Diceros bicornis minor: one gene and its partners. The protein of the gene in region 2 purifies or fractionates together with the protein of the main gene of each other region. This does not show direct contact. Links are inferred from orthologs where the notes say so. Each region holds a gene or a part of one and is shown on either strand. Other genes may lie near its edges. The genes, in order: NBAS, BNIP1 and USE1.

Evidence for each region.
Region 1: the proteins of BNIP1 (region 2) and NBAS purify together in Homo sapiens (co-immunoprecipitation; 3 studies listed by BioGRID and IntAct, with this or other methods). This does not show direct contact. The link is inferred for Diceros bicornis minor from reciprocal best matches to the Homo sapiens genes BNIP1 and NBAS.
Region 3: the proteins of BNIP1 (region 2) and USE1 purify together in Homo sapiens (co-immunoprecipitation; 4 studies listed by BioGRID and IntAct, counting the BioPlex papers as one, with this or other methods). This does not show direct contact. The link is inferred for Diceros bicornis minor from reciprocal best matches to the Homo sapiens genes BNIP1 and USE1.

Annotation. Positions count from the first base shown.
Region 1 is NC_080751.1:65,496,551-65,503,870, reverse strand, and holds the start of NBAS (NBAS subunit of NRZ tethering complex), read right to left. Parts: upstream 3,049-7,320; 5' UTR 3,032-3,048; coding exon 2,915-3,031; intron 804-2,914; coding exon 749-803; intron 1-748. UniProt on the Homo sapiens protein: Involved in Golgi-to-endoplasmic reticulum (ER) retrograde transport; the function is proposed to depend on its association in the NRZ complex which is believed to play a role in SNARE assembly at the ER. Required for normal embryonic development.
Region 2 is NC_080740.1:86,935,905-86,943,432, forward strand, and holds the start of BNIP1 (vesicle transport protein SEC20), read left to right. Parts: upstream 1-4,455; 5' UTR 4,456-4,479; coding exon 4,480-4,563; intron 4,564-7,107; coding exon 7,108-7,200; intron 7,201-7,528. UniProt on the Homo sapiens protein: As part of a SNARE complex may be involved in endoplasmic reticulum membranes fusion and be required for the maintenance of endoplasmic reticulum organization. Also plays a role in apoptosis.
Region 3 is NC_080759.1:5,216,555-5,223,841, forward strand, and holds the start of USE1 (vesicle transport protein USE1), read left to right. Parts: upstream 1-4,271; 5' UTR 4,272-4,564; coding exon 4,565-4,666; intron 4,667-4,960; coding exon 4,961-5,010; intron 5,011-5,139; coding exon 5,140-5,218; intron 5,219-5,299; coding exon 5,300-5,452; intron 5,453-6,098; coding exon 6,099-6,111; intron 6,112-6,560; coding exon 6,561-6,588; intron 6,589-6,857; coding exon 6,858-7,032; intron 7,033-7,270; coding exon 7,271-7,287. Other genes in the region: MYO9B (unconventional myosin-IXb), read left to right, coding at 349-396, 717-863, 1,499-1,622, 1,742-2,157.

The DNA of each region.
Region 1 (7,320 bases), on a different chromosome or scaffold from region 2:
GCTAAAATTCACTGGTATAATAAAGACGGGCTTTGGAGCAGAAACACATGCAGCCAAACTCCAAATGAATGACTTTGGGCAAGTTTCCTCATCTATAAACAGAAACTCATAACAGCACCTACCTTGCTAGTCTGGTAAAGGATAACATGAACTAATATACTTAAAGCCCTCACAACACCAGCTTAAGGCGGCTAGTGCTCAAAACTTTCTCAGATCCTGTGAGTTCTATGTCAATTTTGTCAGAAGTTAAATGAATGCCCTGGTTAATCAAATTTGTAATCTGAACAACTCTGACCGGGTGTATCTGAAATATCATGTAAACCTCTTAAAATGTCCTGTCACTGTCTTTCACCTTCAATGTCCATAGACTCTGAGACTCGCACGGGGTTTGATTTTCTTCACTTCTTCTAGAACACATCCATAATGGTTCAACTCAGGCCATACTTTAGCTCTAAGCTGCATTAAAAATGTGTATGTGTATGTATATATATGTATATGTGTGTATACATATATATACATACACACATGTGTATATGTGTGTATATATACACTCACACTCACATACGTAGATACATATCATATCTATAATTAAGATATATACATATTTATCATGCTCTAAATTAGAAGTCTGAAGAACACATTTTAAAATTCCTAAACTTTCTAAAACAATACAGTTATGAATGAAGTGGAAAATAATTATCTGCTAACTATATCAGTATATGCAGAAAAATAAATAAGCTATACTTACCTTTAATTGCTTTTGTGATGATAAAGGACGCACCATGTTTTCGGTTGCCTCTAGGCTACAATTGGAAACAAAAAACAAAAAAAAACTTTCATATGGGATTTTTCTAGTAATATTTACACAATATGTAAAGTTACATTTCTTTGCTAAAACTCAGAGTACTGGGTACAAGTCACTAGTATTTAAAAAGTACTTATGGATAAAAACAAAACAAGTAGAAGCAGGACTGGGAACAGTGGAAGTAAAAGTGAGCATGGCAGACGTACAGGCATTTGTCAGGAGGACTTTAGAAGGGAGGACGAGGACTGAAGCTGGAAACTGTTTCCAAATCAAAACACCAGTCCAAAGACAAGAGAAGTCAAGAGCAAAGACCATACTGGTTGCCAGTTCAGCACAGTCTACTTAAAACAAGTTTTGCTTGCAGGAAAAGTAATCATACGGATTACTCATCTCACGTCTTGAGGCAAATTTATTGAATATCTGTTGTCTATCCACAGAGAAAATGCTACTAACACACACTGACATATAATTGCTATATTAAATAGTTCCTTAAGTATAGACTAAACATTGTGTAGGCTAAATAATACTAGGCACTACAAATAATGAGTAAGATCTACTAATGTGTTGTTAAGAAAGGAACAATGCACATACAGTAAGTGCAGACAGATATGGCTTAAAAGCACATAAAAGTTATTTCATTCAACAAACAAACTGATCATCCACTTCACGTAAGACCCAGGTTGGTCCTGGGGAGGGATATAAAAATGAATCAGCTGTAGCTGCCCTCAAAGAGCTTGTAGTTCAACACTTGAAATCAATAGAACCAAACAAAACAAAACAAAGTGCTATGAAAATTCAATGTAAGTTGATGCTGTGCTTATTTTTTTAAAAATCAATAATATTAAGCATTCTGAAATATTATTGTAATTAACCAGTGAGTGCTAAGGGGTAGAAATGTATCCTTATCCAGCCAATAGCAGCAGCAACAGCTTTCAAGCTGCATAACCTACAAAATATTCACATTGTTCAAAACAAACAGAAAGTAATACTTGAAAAACAATAATATATGCAGATCTCTGCCAGCCTATAAAATATATTATTCAAGACAAACAGAAACTGCAGTGAGAAGGAGGTTAAAGAAAAACTACAAACAGTATAGGAGAATGAGTAGTTTTTCCAGTAAAGAAACACTCAAGAAAGACGTTGTAAAAAAGAATTCATATGGGCAGGACTCCATGATCTCTAACAAAGGTCCTTTTTGATCTTGCTGCATCCTCTGAGTCTAAAACAGTGACTGGCATATGTTAGGCACTCAATACATCTGTTGAATAAAGGTGGATTCCGGGTTGCTACTCTTCACCTCGTGCCTGGGAGGCCCTCTCTGTGGAACAATTGATAACCTCAAGGTCCACTTCAGGTTACAACCCTTCTCTAGGAGAGAAACCCACCCCGGTCAGTAGCTCGTTACTCTTCACTCCCAAGGCATTTTGCTTACACCGCTATTATAGCGCCTATTACACTAGGTTATGAGAAATGTTCACTGACTTGTCTCCCCTCTAGACTGCAAGAACCACGAGTTATGCACCTCTGTATGCCCAGCGCCTGGCACAGTATCTGACACAGATGGACACACATACACTTATTAAATGCCTGTTTATTGAAATACACAAGAACTGGCGCAATTCAGCCCCAAGTAGGAGTAAAGGTTAGATGCCATGCTCCGCGGCAGCCCGCCAGATGTTGAGACGACTGTAGGGACCTGGAAAATTCTCCCACTGCAGATGACAATCAGCCCTGGCCAGTCCTGTCGGGCGATGGGAAGGGACTACCGAAGAGTCTAAAAATGACGACCTTCTAGTCCAATGCCGTGCCTCCCCTCCAAGTAAAGGGCAGTGAAACAGAACCAGAGTGGGAAGGTACGTGTTCCAGAACCCGGGGTTGCGCCACCCGACCACCGAATTCGCAGCCCAGGAGGAATCTTGGGAACACCCCTTAGGGGACCCAGGCCCCGGCTAGCCCGCCGTGCCGTTACCAGCGTGACCACGCAAGCTGCAGAGCCCCGCTCCCCCGCCCACCCAGCTCCACTCCCCTGCGTGGTTCCCGCTACGAGGCTCTGCCCGGGCAGCATCCGCGCCAAGCTGGCCGCAGCTCTGCAGGGGCCGGGGTCACCTGTACTTCTGTCTCCGGGGGCCACTCGGTGTTGACCAACAAGTCATAGAGAATTGTCTCCTCCTCGCCCTCCGCAGCGCCTGGAATCACAGCCGGCGCTGACTCGGAGGCCGCCATGTTCGCCCGGGACCCAGCCGCTGAGAGAGTGTCACTACGGCATCCCGCAATGGACAAGCTTCCTTAGCCGCGGCCGTTTTTGATTCACTGGAAAGAGGGTGGAGTTAACTGGACGTGGAAAGGAAATGCTAGGTTAACCTTTTTATGAATAGGAAGAACAATGACTACTGCTTGTCTGGGTAACGACTGTCTGTCCCGCTGTACTCCTTGTTAATTAGTCTGCTCGAGATCAGCCAAGTCTGAGCCTCTCTTATCCAGTCGGCTTCTATAAAACAGAAATGGTAAAAGTATTGGTAAATGATAAATGGTAAAAGCATCCCTGAGATGCTGGCGTTCACTTATGTATTCGTTGTCACTTATGTATTGTACACAGAAAGAGTACAAACAGTGGTTTTTTTAAATAAACACCAAAAATTTATGCAATGCAACAGATTAAGCCAATGAAAGGTACCAGAGGAATGGTGCTATAGGAGTTCAGAAAAGGCACGGAAGTCCAGAGGGTCTGAAAGGGCTCCCTGCAGGAAGTGGAGCTTGTCCTGGGTCTTGAACAACAGGTAGAATTTGAATCAAGTGGAGAAGGTTGGGGAGAGCATTTCAAGTGGGGGCAAATGGGCTAAGCAAAGACAGTGACAGAAATATCTAGTTGAAAGAGCAGGCAGCTGGATAGAACCCAAGTAGAGAAAGGGTGTGGGGCAATAAGGTTGAAATGATAGGTTGAGGACCTCCATGGAGGGAGATAAAATGCCAGCCTTGCTTGTTCATTCATTTGTCCATTCATTCATTCAACAACTGCCTCTATGTGGGAAGCCCTGTATATAAGCAGAGCCTATTGTAACCTGATTGAATATACAGTGCACAAGAAATTAGCAGTGTCACATTCAAAAGAAACACAAATACTGAAGCTATCTTACGAGAATTATGTTGCATAATGTCCATCAGGATGCATTAGGCAATGATGCATTTAAAAGCCTCCACTAGGAAGCGTCTAATGGCTCCCATTTCTCTCAAAGCTCAGTGACCTCAAAGCAAGCCCTCCATCACCTGCCTGCACCCCCTTACTCTTTCACCTCATCTGCTGCTTCCCCCTGCTACCTTCAGCCACACTGGCTTTGCTGTTTCTGAACACACCAGACACACTTCCACTTAAGGGACTTTGCATGGGTTGTTCCCTCTGGTTGGAAGACTTCCTACCAGATATTTCTCTGGGTCTCCCCCTCATCTCCAAAGTTTTGCTCAAATGTCACCTTCTCCCTGAAGCTTTACCTGACTGCTCATTTTTAAATTTGAAACCACCTTCCCCATCTCCAGATCTCCCTTACTAGCTCTATTTTTTTTTTGCCATAACACTTTGTCATCACCTAAAATGCTGTATAATTTATGTTTTATTATATGAGTTTATTGTCTGTCCTCATTCACTAAAATGTAGGTTCTACCAGAACGGAGTGCTCTACTATGTATGTATAGATGCTATGTACATCCCTGCTACATCCCCAGAGTTTATAACAGTGCCTGGCACAGAGCAGAGGACAAAATATATATTATTTGTTGAATAAATGAAAAGTTTCCCCAAAATACATTTTTATACATTGTATCCCCAAAGTACTTCTCTTCACAGCAGCCTTGTCTTTTTATCAAACCCTCAGTTGCAGACACCAGACATCTCCTCTCCCCATCCCACCAGAGCTGACAAGTTGCACAGCTCCCGGGAGCATATCTCACATTGCAGGATGTGGAATGTGAAGAGGTAGGAACATCCTTCACTTGGAATACAGTCTTAAAGGTGGCCCCTGGAGTGGTACAGGGCCTCAATACTGCCCCCTCCCATTTCTGCACACCAAGTTTCCTTGGCTCTTTACTCCCTTCCCTATCTCATCCTTTCTCTGATAGAAATTGGCATTGCCTTCTGCTTCATCCATTCTCTTCACCACTTGCATGTGATCAGCACAACCACAGCCAGGAGGTGGCTGGCCAAGCAAGCATCTTCTCAGCTGGCATGCAAAGGGGACAACTGCAAAGACATCACCAAGAATCATCACACTATGTTAATTTCTTTATCCATCCTTACCCTTACCCCATTTACCTTAGTTTGTACCACAGAACAGGAAACAAAAGTCCATGCCTGGCTGACCTCACGGAGCTTATATTCTAAGGAAACAAAAAAGGAGCAGGCTGAAACAGCATTATTTGAAGAGTGACTATACATTTAACTTGGAGTAATTGCTGCAAGGAAAATTCTACTACCAGAGATGCAGATGGGCAGGTTGTGAAGCCTTCTTCGCCACTGTTTAAAATCCAGAAGTTCTTGGAGGAAAAGAACGTGAGATGACCAACAACAGTGAAGAAGGTGGTAAGAATATGTGTGTCATGAGAAGAGCTCTAAATGCAGAATAGCAGACACTGGGGTTGGAAAAGAAAAGGCAGAGAAGTGATCAGATTTCAAGTCAAAGTTCAGCTGAGTCAAAAGAACAAGATGATTTAAGACAGGTTGGGTGGCTTAAACCAAATTGCTAATTGGTCTTATCTGTAGTGACTATATAGTTAATTGTCCAAACTGAGACACTTTGGGGAATGAAAAGGGATGACTTTAATAACTATGCTAGGAAAACAGGCATGAAACAGGACTGTCCTGGGCAAACTGAGATGATGGTCACACTAATCTTAAACAGAAGAGTGACTGATCTAATGAAGAGACCTTGGGCATTTCATTAGGACAGCAAGAGTCTCTTCTCCATCATATTTCCCTTCTTTCTGCCCTCAGACTTACAGTGACAGCTGTCATTTTCATCTGCCCAGGCCTTTTGCTTCCTTGGAGAACTGCTCCAACTGCTCTTCCTTCACCCAAGTCATGTATTCCAGTGGGGCTGCCAATCCCCAGACTCCGCCTCCTTGATCCGGGTCTGCGCACTCAAAGAGCCCCATTCCCCTGACTTCAAGCAATGGGTTGAGAATGCTTCCCGGGGATTTGGGGTTTGTTTTTTTTTTCATGGAAGTGGAGGAAAAAACACCTTTATTTTGGATCATAGAGTTTGAAAAATACAAATTTGGGCTTGTCAGTGGCCGTTTTATTCACTATAGAGGGAAAACCTGTCTGCGATGGTAACAAAATGAAACCACACATTGAGAAAAACACAGGAGACAGAGACATCATTTGATATTAGCATGCCTGAAATAGGTGACATCTGCATGCCTCCATCTTCCCAGTTAAGTGAACCAGTGCATTCCCCTTAAACTAAAGTTAAGTTTCAATGCATTGAAACCACTCTTCTCTTGACATTTCTACCAGTGGATTTTGCAGATTACCTAATTTAGAATCTCTGCAATGTTGCTTCTGAGTTGAGTCAGTAGTTAATAGTACATTGATAGTACTATTACATTAATACATTGACAGTATTCATGGCTTACTAAGCTCTTTTGTCCTCACAGCCACTGCTGAGATGGACAGATAGAAACTCAAGAGAGAGATGCAGATCTCCATTTCCTAGATAAGGAAACTGAAACTTAGAGAAATCCAAGATCACAACAAAGCCAAAATTCAAACATAATTCTTCAGGTCTTGATCCTGTGCTTCTTTCTGCAAATACCCGCCTCTCCTTTTTGAATATTCATTCCCCAACCAAATAAAAATTCCTGCTTTCCCCTGTTTGAGGATGCCATGACTTTGGAAATGATTCCTCATGGCCCCCTACTTGCTGCAAATGCACTTTACTTTGTGCGACAACTTCCACTGGTGTAGAGTCTTATTTAACTCACCAGGAGGCGAGCCCACTTGGTTCGGTATCATTATCATGGTCATCTAACCAACTTCTTAATTTAGCTGAAGGTCCAGGTGAGGCTTGAAGACATTTTAAGTCATGAGTAAGTCATTCTAAAAGGAAAAAATTATGTTTTCCAAATAACCAATGCAAATGGTAACTCTGTGAACTGCTTCAGGAACTAAGACTGAAATAAAAATTGAGACAATCCCAAAATAGGCATAATGATAATAATAATAGCTACATTTTGTGTGTCTACTCTGCTCCAAGCACTGTACCAGATACTTTGCTATACCTTATCTCTCTGCTCCTCTCTACAGTGCTGCAAAGAAAGAGTTAATAAGAAACTGAGGCTTTAAATCACTGTGACTCAAACAAGGTTGCACACTGGTAGTGGTGAAGCTAGAATTGAAACACAGTTTTTGTGTAACGTTCAAATTATTAATAGAGAAGGTACTGTGATATATCCATTTTAATGAAAAGTAATCTGTTTTTTTATAAGCGTTTGATGAAGGGAAGGAAAAATACAGAAAATAT
Region 2 (7,528 bases):
TCTGTCATGGTCTGGGAACTTTAAGGAGCTGGGTGAGCCAGGGCAGTATAGTCCTTAGGAAACTAAACCTTCTGTGGGTAGCACCCAGTTAGGTGGGTCATTCAGTTGTCCCTCCTCACCAACAGTGATTTCAGAACCAGGAGAGCTAGTTGGCCAGAAAGAAAGACATTAGTTGGGAAATACTTTAATATCCCAGCTGAAAGGTTCAGAATAGGAAGAGGGCATTAGAAAGTCTAGAAGGCTAGGGTGGCATTCATTAAGCCCCTGCTAGGTGCTCTCCCATCAGGGAACTCAGCTGCTGCTCTCAGTGGCGCAGTGAGGTAAGCAGTCATGTCCACTTTACAGAAGAGTCAGATGAGACTCAGATGAGGCCACTCACCCCAGACCCAGCTTATGTGATAGACAACTCTAATTTAAATTCCAGTCTGCTTGCCGCACTCAGAGACGATTCTTACTCATCTCTAAGGGACCAGGCCAAGTCACAGGCGATTTGGTTGGATGTCAATATAGGAGGAAAATAATGGGTTTAGAATCTGAAAATCAGAACTAAAGCCAAAACCTAGCAGATGTAGTAACCAAAAGCTGATCTCAGGATCAGTGGATAAAGATGATGGGAGCAAAACAGCGTTGGCAGTAGTCAGTAATTGGGGATGTGGGTCACCAAATTGCATGTCTATCACTCAAAGATGGCCTCTAGCTTAAGGGCTTAGAATTGGGGCTCTGTTAGAAGAGAGTGTGTTGAAGGGTGGAGAAAAAGGGAGCTATCTTTTCTTTAATTGCTGCATTGAGAGGCAATTGGGGACTGTTGATTGCGTAGGAGTTTCCAGCAAGAAGCCTGATGTGAAAGGGGCCCAAGGTCATGTGGGCAGATCTGCTGCCTGCAGACTTTGGGCTTCTTCCTGTCCTAAATAGGGAGCTTCTATTTGAGGATCCAAAACAGTTGAGTGACCTGAAAAACGTCAAACTTGGTTTCTTTAAAAGGTTTTAGTCTTAAAACATCACCAGGAATGAACTTAACAGAAAATGTACAAGGCCTAGATAAAGAAAACTTTAAAATATTATGAAGGACACAGAAGAAGACTTGAACAAATGGAAAGACAGACCAAGTTTTTGAACAGGAGCAGTCAATGACATAAAGTTGTCAGTCCTCCTAAGTTAAAAAATTTAATGCCATCTTAAAACATACCAGGGGGTTAAAAAAAAAAGTTCACCTGGGGAAAAAAATAATAGCTGCAAGATGCTGGGGAATAAAAAAAGAAAAGCAGTGTTCATGTTAACCTATTAAAACACATAAAACTATAATAATTAAAAGTGTCATTTTGGTGCATGAGTGAATAGACAGGCCAATAGAACAGAATGGAAAGTCTAGAAATAAATTCAAACATAAGAGTTCAGTATGGTAAATGAGGCATCCAGAATCAGTGAGAAAAAGATGGATTCTTCAGGAAATAGTGTTGGAACAACTGGGTAACACTCTGGAAAGAGTAAAGTTAGCTCTATACCTCACCCCATAAGCCAACATATATTTCAAAATGGGTAAAGATCTAAATGTTTAAAAAAAAAAAAAAAACCGTAAAAACACTAGAAGGAAATGTGGGCAATTCCTTTAAACCCCTACAGTGTGAGGAAGGCCTTTCTAACTTGGATCCCAAATCCAGGAGTCATAAATGAAGATTGATAAATTCTATGTTAAACAAAAATAAAAAACTTAAAACTTCTTTAAGGCCAAAAAACACCATAAGCTAAGTCAAAAAAAATTTTTTTTTTTTTTTAGGTCTTGAATCTTGATTTAATAAAGTTTGTACCATATCAAATAATATCAAAAGTCTAAGAAAACACGATGGGTTTTTACATCATGTTTATAAATTATTGTTTATATACCATAAAAAAAAAATAAGGTCAAAAGTGCAGTTTAGGGCCGGCCCCGTGGCTTAGCGGTTAAGTGCGTGCGCTCCGCTACTGGCGGCCGGGGTTCGGATCCCGGGCGCGCACCGACGCACCGCTTCTCTGGCCATGCTGAGGCTGCGTCCCACATGCAGCAACTAGAAGGATGTGCAGCTATGACATGCAACTATCTACTGGGGCTTTGGGGAAGAAAAAAGGAGGAGGATTGGCAATAGATGTTAGCTCAGAGCCGGTCTTCCTCAGCAAAAAGAGGAGGATTAGCGTGGATATTAGCTCAGGGCTGATCTTCCTCACCAAAAAAAAAAAAAAAAAAAAAGTGCAGTTTAAAAGAAAAGTGGAAGTTGTTATTCTTGGTAAGAACTAGAAAAATGTATTGTCCCAAGTAAGAAGCAATCTAAAGGCTTATACAGTTTCTTAGGAATTTTCCTTTAACTCTCATACAACTTTGGCTACCATATGCCATAAGAAAAACCAATAATACAAAGAGAGCTAAATAATCTTCTTATAAAAATAATAGGAAACACAGATCTGGTGATAACAAACATTGGAAATAAACATAATTATAGAACTCCTCCCAAAAATTAAATGCGCTAAGTCAAAATTTTATAGACTAGGGAAAAAGCTCATCTCCAAGGGCTAATCCTCCTAATATATAAAGAGCTCCTAGAAACTGATGTGAAAAAGACCAACAACCCAATAGAGAAATGAGCAGACAATAGAGTAAATACAAATACCTCTCAAGCTTGTTCATGATAAGAGAAATGCAAATTAAGAGATGGCATTTTTCACTTAATCAGACTGGCAAAAATCCCAGCGTTTAACACACTGTGTTGGTGAGGCCCTGGGGAAGTAGGCATTTATACCACATTGCTGGTGGGAGTGTAAACTGATATAACCTCTACGAAGAGCAATTTGGTAACATATATCAGAAATTTAAAATGCACATATCCTTTGACCTAGCAATTCCATTTGCATTGGGCAACTCATTGTTCTCTCTGTGCCTGTTTCCTCGTGTAAAATGTGGTTAATTCTACCTCATAGAGTTGTTGTGAGAATTAGATGATACACATAAAGCATTTAGTATAAAGTGCCTGGCACATAGGAAGTGCTCCAAAAATGTCAGTTAGTAATATAATAATGGCAGCTAATGCACACAGAGCTCTTACCACATGCCACATTACTACACTGTGCTTGGTGCTTTTCATGTATTACCTCATTTCACCCTCCCACCAAGCCAGTGATTACCCCCAGTCAGCCTCTGAGGAGACTGAGGCACAGAGATGTGAAGTGGGTTGTGGAGCAGGATTCAAGCCAAGGCAGACGCCCAAGCCTGCAATACACCGCCTCTCTATTAGGTGCAGTGGGGTGATGAACACCTTCAGGGAGGGTGTGCGGCGTGCTGGAGGAACACAGATAGGCGAGCACACAGCCCCCCTTGTACACTACCCAAAGGCCATATTTGGTTCTTAAGGGAAGATGTGGCTTTCAGGCAAGGCACTGCCACTTTCAAGTTGGGTACCGTGGGGCAGGGATGTCCGGTTTTGCTTTGTTTTGATCTACTCTTAGTCCATCTCCCAGTCTGTAAAACTGGAGTATCACCTATTTCAAGCGTGGTTGTGCGGATTAAAAGAAACACAGCTAGGCCCTCAGGGTGTCACAATCTATGCTTGCTGAACTGAAGTGAACAAAAGTGAATGGGGCTGGGGGCAAGTGGGGAAAAGCATTCAAGAACAGGGAACAGCACATTCCAAGGCTACATATCCAAAAAGAGCTTGAAGGATCTCGGGAGGAGGTGGGGCTGGGTGAGGTGGCTGATGGCCTTGAGGACCAGCTAAGAAACTTGGGACTATTTAATAATAAAAGTAAAATGAAAGAGCCTCCATTTGTTGAGGGTCTGCTCTTAATTATTTCCATCAAAACTACATTAATCCACCAAAACTACTCGGGTGATGTAGACTTAATAAATCCAGTTGTACACAAAAGGGAACCGCCAGGAGCCATAGAAGGGGTCCAAGCTGGGAGGTGACTTGATTAGTTACGCGTTTTAGAAAGATCCCTCGGACCATGTGTTGGACTAGTGGCCTGCCTTGAATTCCAGACACTAAAAAAAGTAATAATAACAACGTTTACCATTTTTTCTTTTACTCCACAATTCATAGTCACTGTAGAAGATATGAAAACACAAGGAAGTTTCAAGAAATACAAAAAATTGTTAATTCCACCTTCCAGAAATATCCCAATTGATACTTTTCTTCCAGCCTTTCCCCCGCCCATGTAAAAAATATGTAGTCATTAGAATGGCTGATAGGCGGAAGATGGGGAACGTTAAACGCTGTTAAAACGCTCTTCGATTCCCTCTTCCCTTCCTCTGCGTTTTACTAGGATCACGCCAAGAGGAGAGGCTGAGTCCCCGACGTGTCAGGGAAAGTCCCCAGCACCGAGCGCGGCACCCTCGCACGCCCCAGACCGGGCTCTAGGGGGCGCTGCCGTGAGACCGGGCGGGGAGGGAAGGCCGGGGCGCGAGAACGCGTTTGCACTTGGGCACTGTCGCTGCCCGTAGCTGGCGTCCCCAACATGGCGGCTCCCCAAGATGTCCACGTCCGGATCTGCAACCAAGAAATTGTCAAATTCGACCTGGAGGTGAAGGCGCTTATCCAGGTACTAATTCCCGAGACCGCTGCCGGGCCCCAGCGTCCCTAAGTCCAAGCTCCGCTGGCCTTCTGTGAGCTCGGTGGTCTCACTCCCTAGCTCTCCCCGCTTGGTCAAGTCTCCGAGGTCGCTGGCCCCACGCCATGGCCGGCTATCCCCTTGTTGTTACGCTTGAGTCCCGTCCCCTTGACCGTTGGCCTTGATCCTCCATCCAGTGCTGTCGGCTCGCCCTCTTCCGGGACACCCCCGGGTCCCCCGCCCCTGACCAGGCTTCCCCTGTGGCCCCGTTTGGTCCCTCCCACACATACCCCTGATCGTCGCCTCGCCCCCGAGCGCCTCACAACATACCTGTCACCCTGCTTGGCCCTGTTTTCTGACACCGCCCTCTCCATCATCTGGTAGCCTCCTGGGACCATGAGCCCCGCCCCCTGCTGGCCAGCTCCGCTGGTCCCGTGCTTCGTGGCACCCAAGGCTACTTGGCGCTGGAAGCACCGGGGAAATGAACGTAACCTGGACCGTAGTGGGGATTTTGAAATGAGGAAATCACGTAGACTGCCAAGGCCTAGGTCAGAAGGCAGATAGTGAAAGTCAGCCTAGAGAAGGGACTTAGAGAGCCTCTACTCCTCGGTTTAATAGGGTAATTGAGGTGCGTTGCCTTAGGCCATTTAAGGGTGGAAGGCAGTAGTGCAATAAACCAGTTGACACAGGCAAGAGGTAGGAATGGAGAAATGGTTCCTTGAGTTTAGCAAAAAGAAACCAAGAGTCTTAAAGCTTGGTTTAAGGGAAAGCGTTTCCATTTCCAACAAATGTTACTAAGCATTGGATGTAGACTCAGAGTTTGCAACTAGCTTCGACAAAAAGCGAAAGAAAGTAGGACTCCTCAGGGAAACCAGACGCAAAATAAACCAAATAAGTGGTTCATCGTAGGGTGCAAGGAAGTGTGATTTACGAGTGAGCCAGAGAACAAGTGAGGACACTTGATGCAAACATTTTAACTTCTTGAACTTCATGTCTCCCATGTATAAACTACAAAACTTCTGGGCCAATTCTAGTAAAATAAATTTAGGATTTATACAAATGAAATCACTTTTTCACATAATCTAAATTGCTTAAATCCCCTTTTGTACTCTCTAACATTTGGGCTCTCGTGATTGCTAATGAGAAAGATTGATCATAGCTAGATTTATTGTACTCTTACTTTGTTCCAGCTCCTCTGCTAAGCACTTCACATACATCCGTGGTCTGTGAGCTAGGTAATGTTGTGATGAGGAAACTCAGGCTCAGAGAACTCAAATGACTTTTTCAAGGTTTCACAGCTAATAAGTTGCTTCAGCCAGGATTTGAATCCACATAGTTTAGCTCCAGAGCCTGCTCTAAATCCTGGCCCTAGTAATTCTGAATGTCCAGAAACAAATTCTAAATCATATTCTAAATTGAACATGTCTGTAAACACTGTGATTTATAATATGTGGTTTGAAAGATCAGATAAGATGTTAGTCTTGTCATATTAGGCCAGGAATTTAGCATCCTGGTTTTCCAGTTGGAAAAATCTAAAGTTGTAGGATCACTTTTGGGTGTCCATTCTTGTTGGACACACAAGCTGCTTTAAGCCTTTCATACTGGCCAGGTGGTGTTTTGTTAAACTTTAGGAACTCGTAAGTCAAGACAGAATTGTGTTTCTTCCCTTCTTTTTTTCTTTTTTTGAGGTAAAATTGGTATATAACATTATAAAAGTTTCAAGTATACAACATTATAATTTGATATTTGTATACACTACAAAGTGATCACCACCGTAAGTCTAGTTACCATCCATCACTATACAGTTGATCCTGTCCCCCCATTGCGCCTGTCCCCCAACCCCCTTCCCCTCTGGTACCACCAGTCTGTTCTCTGTATCTATGAGTTTGTTTTTGTTTTGTGTGTTTGTTTTATTTTTTTTAATTTTTTTAAATTTTATTTATTTATTTATTTTTTCCCCCAAAGCACCAGTAGATAGTTGTATGTCATAGTTGCACATCCTTCTAGTTGCTATATGTGGGACTCGGCCTCAGCATGGCGGGAGAAGTGGCGCGTTGGTGCGTGCCCGGGATCCGAACCCAGGCCGCCAGCAGCAGAGCGTGCACTCTTAACCACTAAGCCACGGGGCCGGCCCTGTTTTATTTTTTAGATTCCACATATGAGTGAAATCATATGGTATTTGTCTTTCTCATCTGACTTATTTCACTTAGCATAATACCTTAAGGGTCCATCCATGTTGTTGCAAATGGCAAATATTCCTTTTTTATGGCTGAGTAGTATTCTCTTGTATATAGAGTTGTTTTTCTTTTTATGCTTTTATATTACCTGCTCAAAATTAATCTAAAGAAGGATGAGAAAAATGAAAATGATAATGTTTTTGCTTGTGTTGCAGAGGTAAAGAGCAAAGATTAGGATGAATTACAGTCAGTAGGCCAACCTTAGGTGTGGTCTACACCAACTCTCTCACTGTACAGATGGTGTCATTTCATTTCGTTGCCTTAAGAAAGACCCTCTCATCTCTTCAATGTCTCCTAGGATATTCGAGACTGTTCAGGACCATTAAGCGCACTCACTGAACTGAATACTCAAGTGAAAGAGAAGTTTCAGCAGTTGCGGCACAGAATACAGGTGAGTGGCTGCAAAACTGGGATGCTGAGAATGGGCAGCAGTGAACGGGGCTGGGTCCTGGCACTCACCTCTGCCTGCGTGCTGTCCAGGTTCTTCAGTGAACGCTTAGACAGCCAGGGTGACTGTACTAACCTGCTATCCAGGTCAAAATGAGGAACTTTTACATGCAGAGCCAGCTGTGTTAACAAGTTAACAGCAAGTTAACACTGCCAGCTGTCTTAAGTGGATGGCAGGGACACCATTGTCCCTGGAATTTTTCAACTTGAAAACTCTGAAGCTACTTCAACTGCTTTCTCTTCTCTAGCACTCTCTCCAGCCCATTCACCGC
Region 3 (7,287 bases), on a different chromosome or scaffold from region 2:
CCAGGGGCCTCAAGGCAGCAGGGTTAGAGGCCCATTCCCAGCCTCAGGCAAACGCCCCTCTCAGAGGGCAGCGGGCGACCTGTCACTCTCTTGGCAGTGGTTCGGGTCATTCTTCAGCTCCATCCCTTGCTGACCTGGGCCCCCGCCCACAAGGAAACGTTCCCACAGCAGAAGTGGCTCCACACTAGGGAGTGGGGGGTGGGGGAGCGGGTGGGGGCGGGTCCTGGGCTACTGTGGGAGGACCCTTATCTTTGTCCCTGCGGTCAGATGTGGCCCGGTGTCCTTGACGCACACCTTTGTCAGGGTCAGTGGCCCCCAGTGGTCACCCTCTGTTCATCTCTCCCCCAGCCATGGCCTCTCAAACTGGGGTTTTCGTCTCCCTATGAGGCGATGCTGGTATGTACACGCTTAGCAGCCGCCCTGCATGTCTCCCCCAGCGGTGCATGCTGGGGTTCCCCTTGGCCCAGGGCCCTTGTAGGATAGACCTAGTGTGTCCTGACCTTTCCGAAGTGCATGCTGGGGGAGGCCTGTGCCTGCTGACCACCTGTGTGAGAAGGACGACTAACCAGCAGAGCGCCGGCCACCCCCTCCCCGCGTGACCCTGGAGAAGCCTCACTAAGCCCACTGTCCACGTCAGAACTAATCTCCCAGGCCGCTCACACCGCCCTCTCTGCCAGCCCAGGGGGCCGGCCAGACCTGCTGCTTCTCTGTTGCAGAACAAGAGCCCCAAGGCCCGGGTGAGTAGCAGCGGCGGCCTGGAGGAGCTGGACGTGCTGCCAGAGGAGGAGGTGGCCGGTGGCGACGAGGACCGCGAGAAGGAGATGCTCATGGAGCGGATCCAGTCCATCAAGGAAGAGAAGCAAGTGTTCCTCCATCCCCTTCCAGCGCCCTCCACCACAGGGAGCCTGGCCCTTAGAGGCTGCCAGGCTAGGCTCCTCGCATCGTCCAGGACCCACTTCAACGGGTGCCGCTGTCCTGAAACCCCATGCTTGACCACAGGGAACCACGGTGACCCACACCGTGGGAGAGCTGAGGCGACAGAGGGGTGATGCCCAGACTTTGTCCAGAAGTTGGCCTTAGTTAGGGTGACTAATTTGTTGTCCAGTCAAGATGTGAAGGGGGGTGTTATTAAAAATGCTGCCAAGAGAATAGGAGTGACCCAGGCCGCCCCGTCACCCTAGTCTTAGGAACAGGGGAGGGCAATGCAGGTGGAGGGAAACACGTGCAAAGGTCCTGAGGCAGAAGCTCCTCACCAGCTCAGTCCTGGCCCAGGTGCCTGGCTTCCCTCAGCAGCCGGACACCTTCTTCCCGTCAGCTTCACAGGGCCGGGGTGATTTGGGCCAGGTGTGCTTTGGGGGTGGAAGTGGGGTGCTGGGGGCAGGGAGTACCATCCAGGACCAGGACGGCCTGCTCTGTACCCTACCAGCCTGGCACTTTCCGTGGGGTGGTCTTTCGCCATGGGAACAGCCTCGGACACTGTGACCTCCTCCCCAGGGAGGACATCACCTACCGGCTGCCGGAGCTGGACCCGCGGGGCTCCGATGAGGAGAACCTGGACTCGGAGACGTCGGCCAGCACCGAGAGCCTGTTGGAGGAGCGGGCTGGGCGGGGGGCCTCGGAAGGTCAGTATTAAGGTAGCGTCTGCTTTTTTCCTTCCCGTGTCCACCACCGCCGGCCCCGGGGCGAGGGACCATGTGGCGGCCCTGAAGCTGCAGTAACCCTGCCATCTGTCTCTCAAAAGGGCCCCCTGCGCCTGCTCTCCCCTGCCCCAGTGTACCCACCCCGAGCCCCCTCCCCACGGCGGCCGCCCCTCCGCGACGAAGGCCGTCGTCCTTCATGACGGTCAGAGTGAAGACGCCCCGGCGGACCCCCATCATGCCCACGGCGAACATCAAGCTCCCACCTGGCCTGCCCTCCCACCTTCCCAGCCGGGCGCCGGGGCCCCAGGAGGCTGCTGCCCCGGTGAGACGCCGAGAGCCACCCGCCCGCCGCCCGGACCAGGTACACTCTGTGTATATCACGCCCTGCGCTCACCTGCCCGCGAGGGGTGCTCAGGAGCCCGTGGACAAGGACGACCGGCCACCTGGGGCCAAGCGAAGGTACTCGGACCCTCCCACCTACTGCCTGCCCCCCACCTCGGGCCAGGCCAACGGCTGAGGGCCCACAGCCGTCTGTCCACATGTCCGAGGACAGCCCAGAGCCAGCATTCAGCTCGCCGAGAAGGATCCGGAATGAAAAGCTGCAAGAGCGATGTGGGGGGGAGCAACGGCTCCCAGTGCAGGGTCGAGGCCGGGAGAGGCCAGCTGAGGCTGGGCCGCCCTCGCTGAGCCTCCACGCTGCGCAATCGCGCCCACCCAGAGCACGGAATCACGGCGGGCCACCTAGCATCTCCCACCTCCCATTTTGTAATTTTTTACAGTAACTGTTTTTTTGTGCGTGGTTTACATAACTTTAAACTGTAACAGCCTTAACGGAAGACCAAATTGTTTTTTATATGTGTCTGTACGACCTTTTATATTAACGCGCTGCATCTCCTTTATAACCTGGACATCAGTCTTCAAAGCTAAGCCCACGCAGCCGCCACGCTTCAGAGGCTCAGCCCTGCGCTGGGAGCGCTCTGGGCGGTCCAGGGCCAGGACCCTGCACGAGGGGTTTAGACACTCGGGCCGCATGACCGCCTTTCTCTCTCTTGGACTCGTCCTCTGGCCGGGGTGCATTTGAGGGAGCGCCAGAGCCCTCCGTGGGGATCAAGGCTGTTGGCTGAGCCAGGACACAAAGCGGGGGGGAGCAGCCTCCACCCGGGGCACCACAGACCTCACGTCCCAGGGAGGCTCCAATGTGGCCGTCATCCTCTGCCCATCCTGGACTCCAGAGGCTGGAGGAGGGCACCCTTGGCACTGCCCCCACCCCCCCCACCTCCACCGTGTGGCAGAACAGGAGCCAGCGACTCAGGACCGCTCACCGGCGGGGAGGGCAAGGCCTGTGTTGTCCCCCTCAGGTCAACAGTGGCAGCCTGGGGATCTCCAGAGGGATGCCCTCAGGTTTGGCCCACTCCCCAGGACACATGTATCCCCTGGACACATGACCACAGGTCTGGGACAAGAGGCACCCAGAGCCGTGTGAAATAAAGACAAAGCGCCTGAGAGATTTGTGTGTGGCTCCTGCTCAAAACACTCCTGGTTGGAGGAGTGGGGCTTCGGTGGGGGCACCCTGCAGCCTCTGCCAAGAGGGGTGCAGGGCAGGGGGTTGTGCCCCTTGTCTGGAAGAACCTGCCTTGATCCTCAGCAAATGCTGCTGTTGGGATCTCCCACGTGCTCCTCACCTGGGCAGGTGGGCTTGTGGAGGTGCTTGACCTGGACATCTGGGGAGAGGGCAGCTCCTGCAGAGTGGCATTCAGTGAGGGGAGCCTGCTGTCCTGGGGGCTGCCTCCTGTCGCCCTGTTTCAGCACCAGCCTCTCCTCAGCTGGGGCGTAAGCGTCAGGTGCAGGGCCATGGGCCAGGGGGGGAGTCTGTTCCTGGTGGGCCGGCAGAGCCAGAGGCCCCCACACATCAGCCGCAGATGAGCTCCCAGGCTGCGATCAGATGGGCAGGTGGGGGACGTGGCTCGCGGGTGGGGCCTGTGAGGGTGGGGTCAGGGGACCGTGAAGAACTTGAGTCCAGACGGCACATGCCAGAGGGTTGGGGGCTTGTCCAAGACCACACAGGTGCGGTGGGGTGGGGCTGGGGTTCAGACCCTGCCCATCTGCCTCTGGAGCCCCCTTTATCCATCCTGGGTTTGGCCTCCTCCGTGGTACTTTGCGAGGACATTAGGCACACCAGTGTGACCAGGACACCGGTGACCTGAGGGCTGCATGCCAGGCTCCGATCCCGTGAAGCCTCCATCCTCACCGCGTCCACTCCAGGAGCGGGGCTCGTGGGACTGGCCTCGGCTTCCTGGGCACCTGGGTGGGCTGGAACTGGCTTCTCTTCACGGGGGTCTGAACGTTAGGGGTGACCCGGCCCCGCCTCCTGCTCGCAGGGCTAGTTCGTGTGCCCCTTGAGACAGGCACTGTCCCACTCCCCATTCCCCAAGGGAGGAAACAGGCCCAGAAACAGCGGGGGACGGAGTCTGGCGCCCGGAAGCTCACAACCGCAGAAGATTGGATGGGCCCCTAAGCCAGCCCAGGGCCTCTCCCCCGGAAGAAGTCGGGGAAGGCTGGCCGGATGCGCAAAACCTCAGTGTGGGAAGAATCCAGGCAGCAGTGGATGTGGGGGAGGCACTTTGAGCAGGGGGAAAGGAATGAGCAAAGGACACGTTGTACGTGGGCCTGAAACCGCAGGACCTGGTCCTTTCAACCATTCCTGAGGGTTAAGATGCTCTGGAGGAAAAGCAGGCGATTCAGCCCTGAGTAACTATGGACGAGGATGGCGCCTCTCCTTGAAATAAAATATTATTGCCACCCCAAAGAAAGATGGAACGGCGAGCGAGCTGAGCTCATCCAACCGGAAGGAAGCCAAATGAAGGCACTTCCGCCATCTCTTAAGATGGCGCCGGCGGAAGGGGCGAGGTAGCACCGTGGGGGTGATGGCAGCGTCGAGGCTGGAGCTCAACTTGGTGCGGCTGCTGTGCCGCTGCGAGGCGATGGCAGCGGAGAAGAGGGACCCGGACGAGTGGCGTCTGGAGAAGGTGGGAGAAGCCCGCGGGGCAGCGTAGAGCCTGACTCCGGGACAGTGGGCCCGGAGCTGGCGGCCACCGGTTCCGACTCCCCTGCCCCAACAGCCACCCTGGCCACGCCCCTTCCGGTCGGCGCCGCTACGTCCACCTGCAGCTCCCGTCTCTGGGGTTCCGCTGGCCGCGCCTCCTTGACGCTTGGCCCCTCCCACTTCCGAGCCCCGCCCCTTGCTGGCTCTGGCCCCTTTGAGCAGGATGGGAAGAAGTGGGGGTGTGGGACCGGGCTGACGCTGCGCTGTCTCTCCCCAGTACGTGGGAGCCCTCGAGGACATGCTGCAGGCCTTGAAAGCCCAGGCGAGGTGAGTGCCGGCGGCCACTGGGGTTTCAAATCCGGGGTCGGGGTAGAGCCCTGGGCTCCGGTTCCTGCTGGACCCTTCCCTGAACTGGGACCGTGGGCAGGTTTTCTTTGTCCTCTTCTCGCCTTCTAGCAAACCGGTCTCCGAGGTGATCAATGAGTATGCCCGCAAGGTGGATTTTCTGAAGGGGATGCTGCAGGCAGAGAAGCTGGTGAGCGGGGACGGCCGCCTCCTCAGCCCTCCTCACCCCCAGGACCTGCCCCTCTGGTGACCCCTCATCCCTCTTCTTCAGACCTCCTCCTCCGACAAGGCACTAGCCAACCAGTTCCTGGCTCCTGGCCGCGTGCCCACCACAGCCCGGGAGCGGATACCTGCCACGAAGACAGTGCATCTGCAGTCACGGGCCCGGTACACCAGCGAGATGCGGGATGAGCTGCTGGGTGCGGTAGGACACTCTCCTGGTCCCTGAGGGCCCTTTGGTCAGCGACAGGAGTTCAGGGCCTGGGGCTGGCCAGAACAACAAATACTGTCAGGTGCAGGGACCCTAAGGAGCCCAATAGCCTCCGCCCTGGGCCATCAGGGCTTGATAAATGAACAGGAGTCGGGTACAAGGCAAAAATGACGTGTCCGGTTACGACGAGTGTTTTCATCTGTAAAACAGGATAAGTGTCTTTCTGAGCACTTTACGTGGATCAGGTAAACCCTTCACAACAGGAGCTGTTGGACCAGCCCGGTGGCTTAGCGGTTAAGTGCTCGCGCTCTGCTACTGGCAGCCCGGGTTCGGATCCCGGGCGCACACCAACGTACCGCTTCTCCTGCCATGCTGAGGCCGCGTCCCACATACAGCAACTAGGAGGATGTGCAACTATGACATACAACTATCTACTGGGGCTTTGGGGGACAAAATAAATAAATAAATAAAATTATACAACAGGAGCTGTTGTTACCGATTTATAGACTAAAAAACAGGCTCAGAGGTCATGAGACTTCCCCAGGGCTCTGACTATGGGTGGGGAGTGTCTGAGAGCAGAAAGGACAGGTTTAGGGGCATGACAAAGTGGGTGACTTCACGCTCTCCCTTTTTGCCACAGGACTCTTCTGGAGGTGAGTCGGCCTGAGCAGAACAGGACTTGAGGCCCAGCTGCCTGGGACCAGACATGTGTCCTTGCTGCCCCCATCCCTGGTGCCTGGCCTCACTCCCACAGCCCAGGCAGAGTGTCCCTGGGGGTGTTACTGAGTTATGCCTAGAGGGGGGGCTAGGACAGAGGAGGTGGCCCCCAGAGGAAGCAAAGCTGGAAACTCCCAGCCCACGGGCCAAAGTTAGGCTGCAGGGAGGGACCTGGGGCCGGGGGAGCCCAGCTGGGGGTGAGGAGAACCCCCTAGAAGAGAGCGCGTTTGAGCTCGAGCTTTGAGGCATGGTCAGGAGCCCAGCAGGCAGCAGACAGGACTGGAAAGGGCATTGTGAGTGGCAGGCCTGTGACGGGCAGTGGCCAGGAGGCTGGTCAACAGGAAACCAACCCGCTCTCGTTTCTGCCGGGCCTGTTTCCCTGCAGAGCCCGAGCTGGACGTGCGGAAGAGAAGGTGAGTGTCCTCTGCCCTTGGGCAGCACTGGGGGCCGGGGGGCTGGACGAGCCTTGGGCCCCTGAGGCGCCACCATGAGCATCTAAACCGCCCATCAGAAGCCACTTCTGGGGGTGCTGTTCCCAGAAGCCAGAGCAAAGAAGGGGTAACTGAGCCCCAAGCAGGGCAGTGGCCGGAGCTATAGCCTCTGGGCTCCCTGGGAACGTGTTGGTCTCTTCCCCTCCCCCACCCCACCTCGTGCCCACCTGCCCACCCATGTGTGGGGTCAGTGGGGTGGCAGGGCCCAGGCCAGGAAATGAAAAGCAGTCGGCGGCCGAGTTAGACCTCATCCTGCAGCGACACCAGGACCTCCAGGAGAAGCTGGCAGAGGAGATGCTAGGCCTGGCCCGGAGCCTCAAGACCAACACACTGGCCGCCCAGAGTGTCATCAAGAAGGACAACCAGGTGTGAGGAGTGTGGGAGCTTTGCAGCCTCTGTCCTGGGGCATCAGAGAAGGTTTCCCAGCAGAGGGGCATTGTGGCTGGGGCTTGGCTGGCTGGAGTTTGGTAGAAAGCAAGAATGGCATTCTCAGCAGAGGAAACAGCACCAACAAGGGCCGAGAGGTGCAGACTTGCTGCAGGGTGGTAGGGAGAGGCCACACTTGGCCCCAGTCCTGTTGATGCTCTCCCCACCTCACCTGCAGACCCTGTCGCACTCACT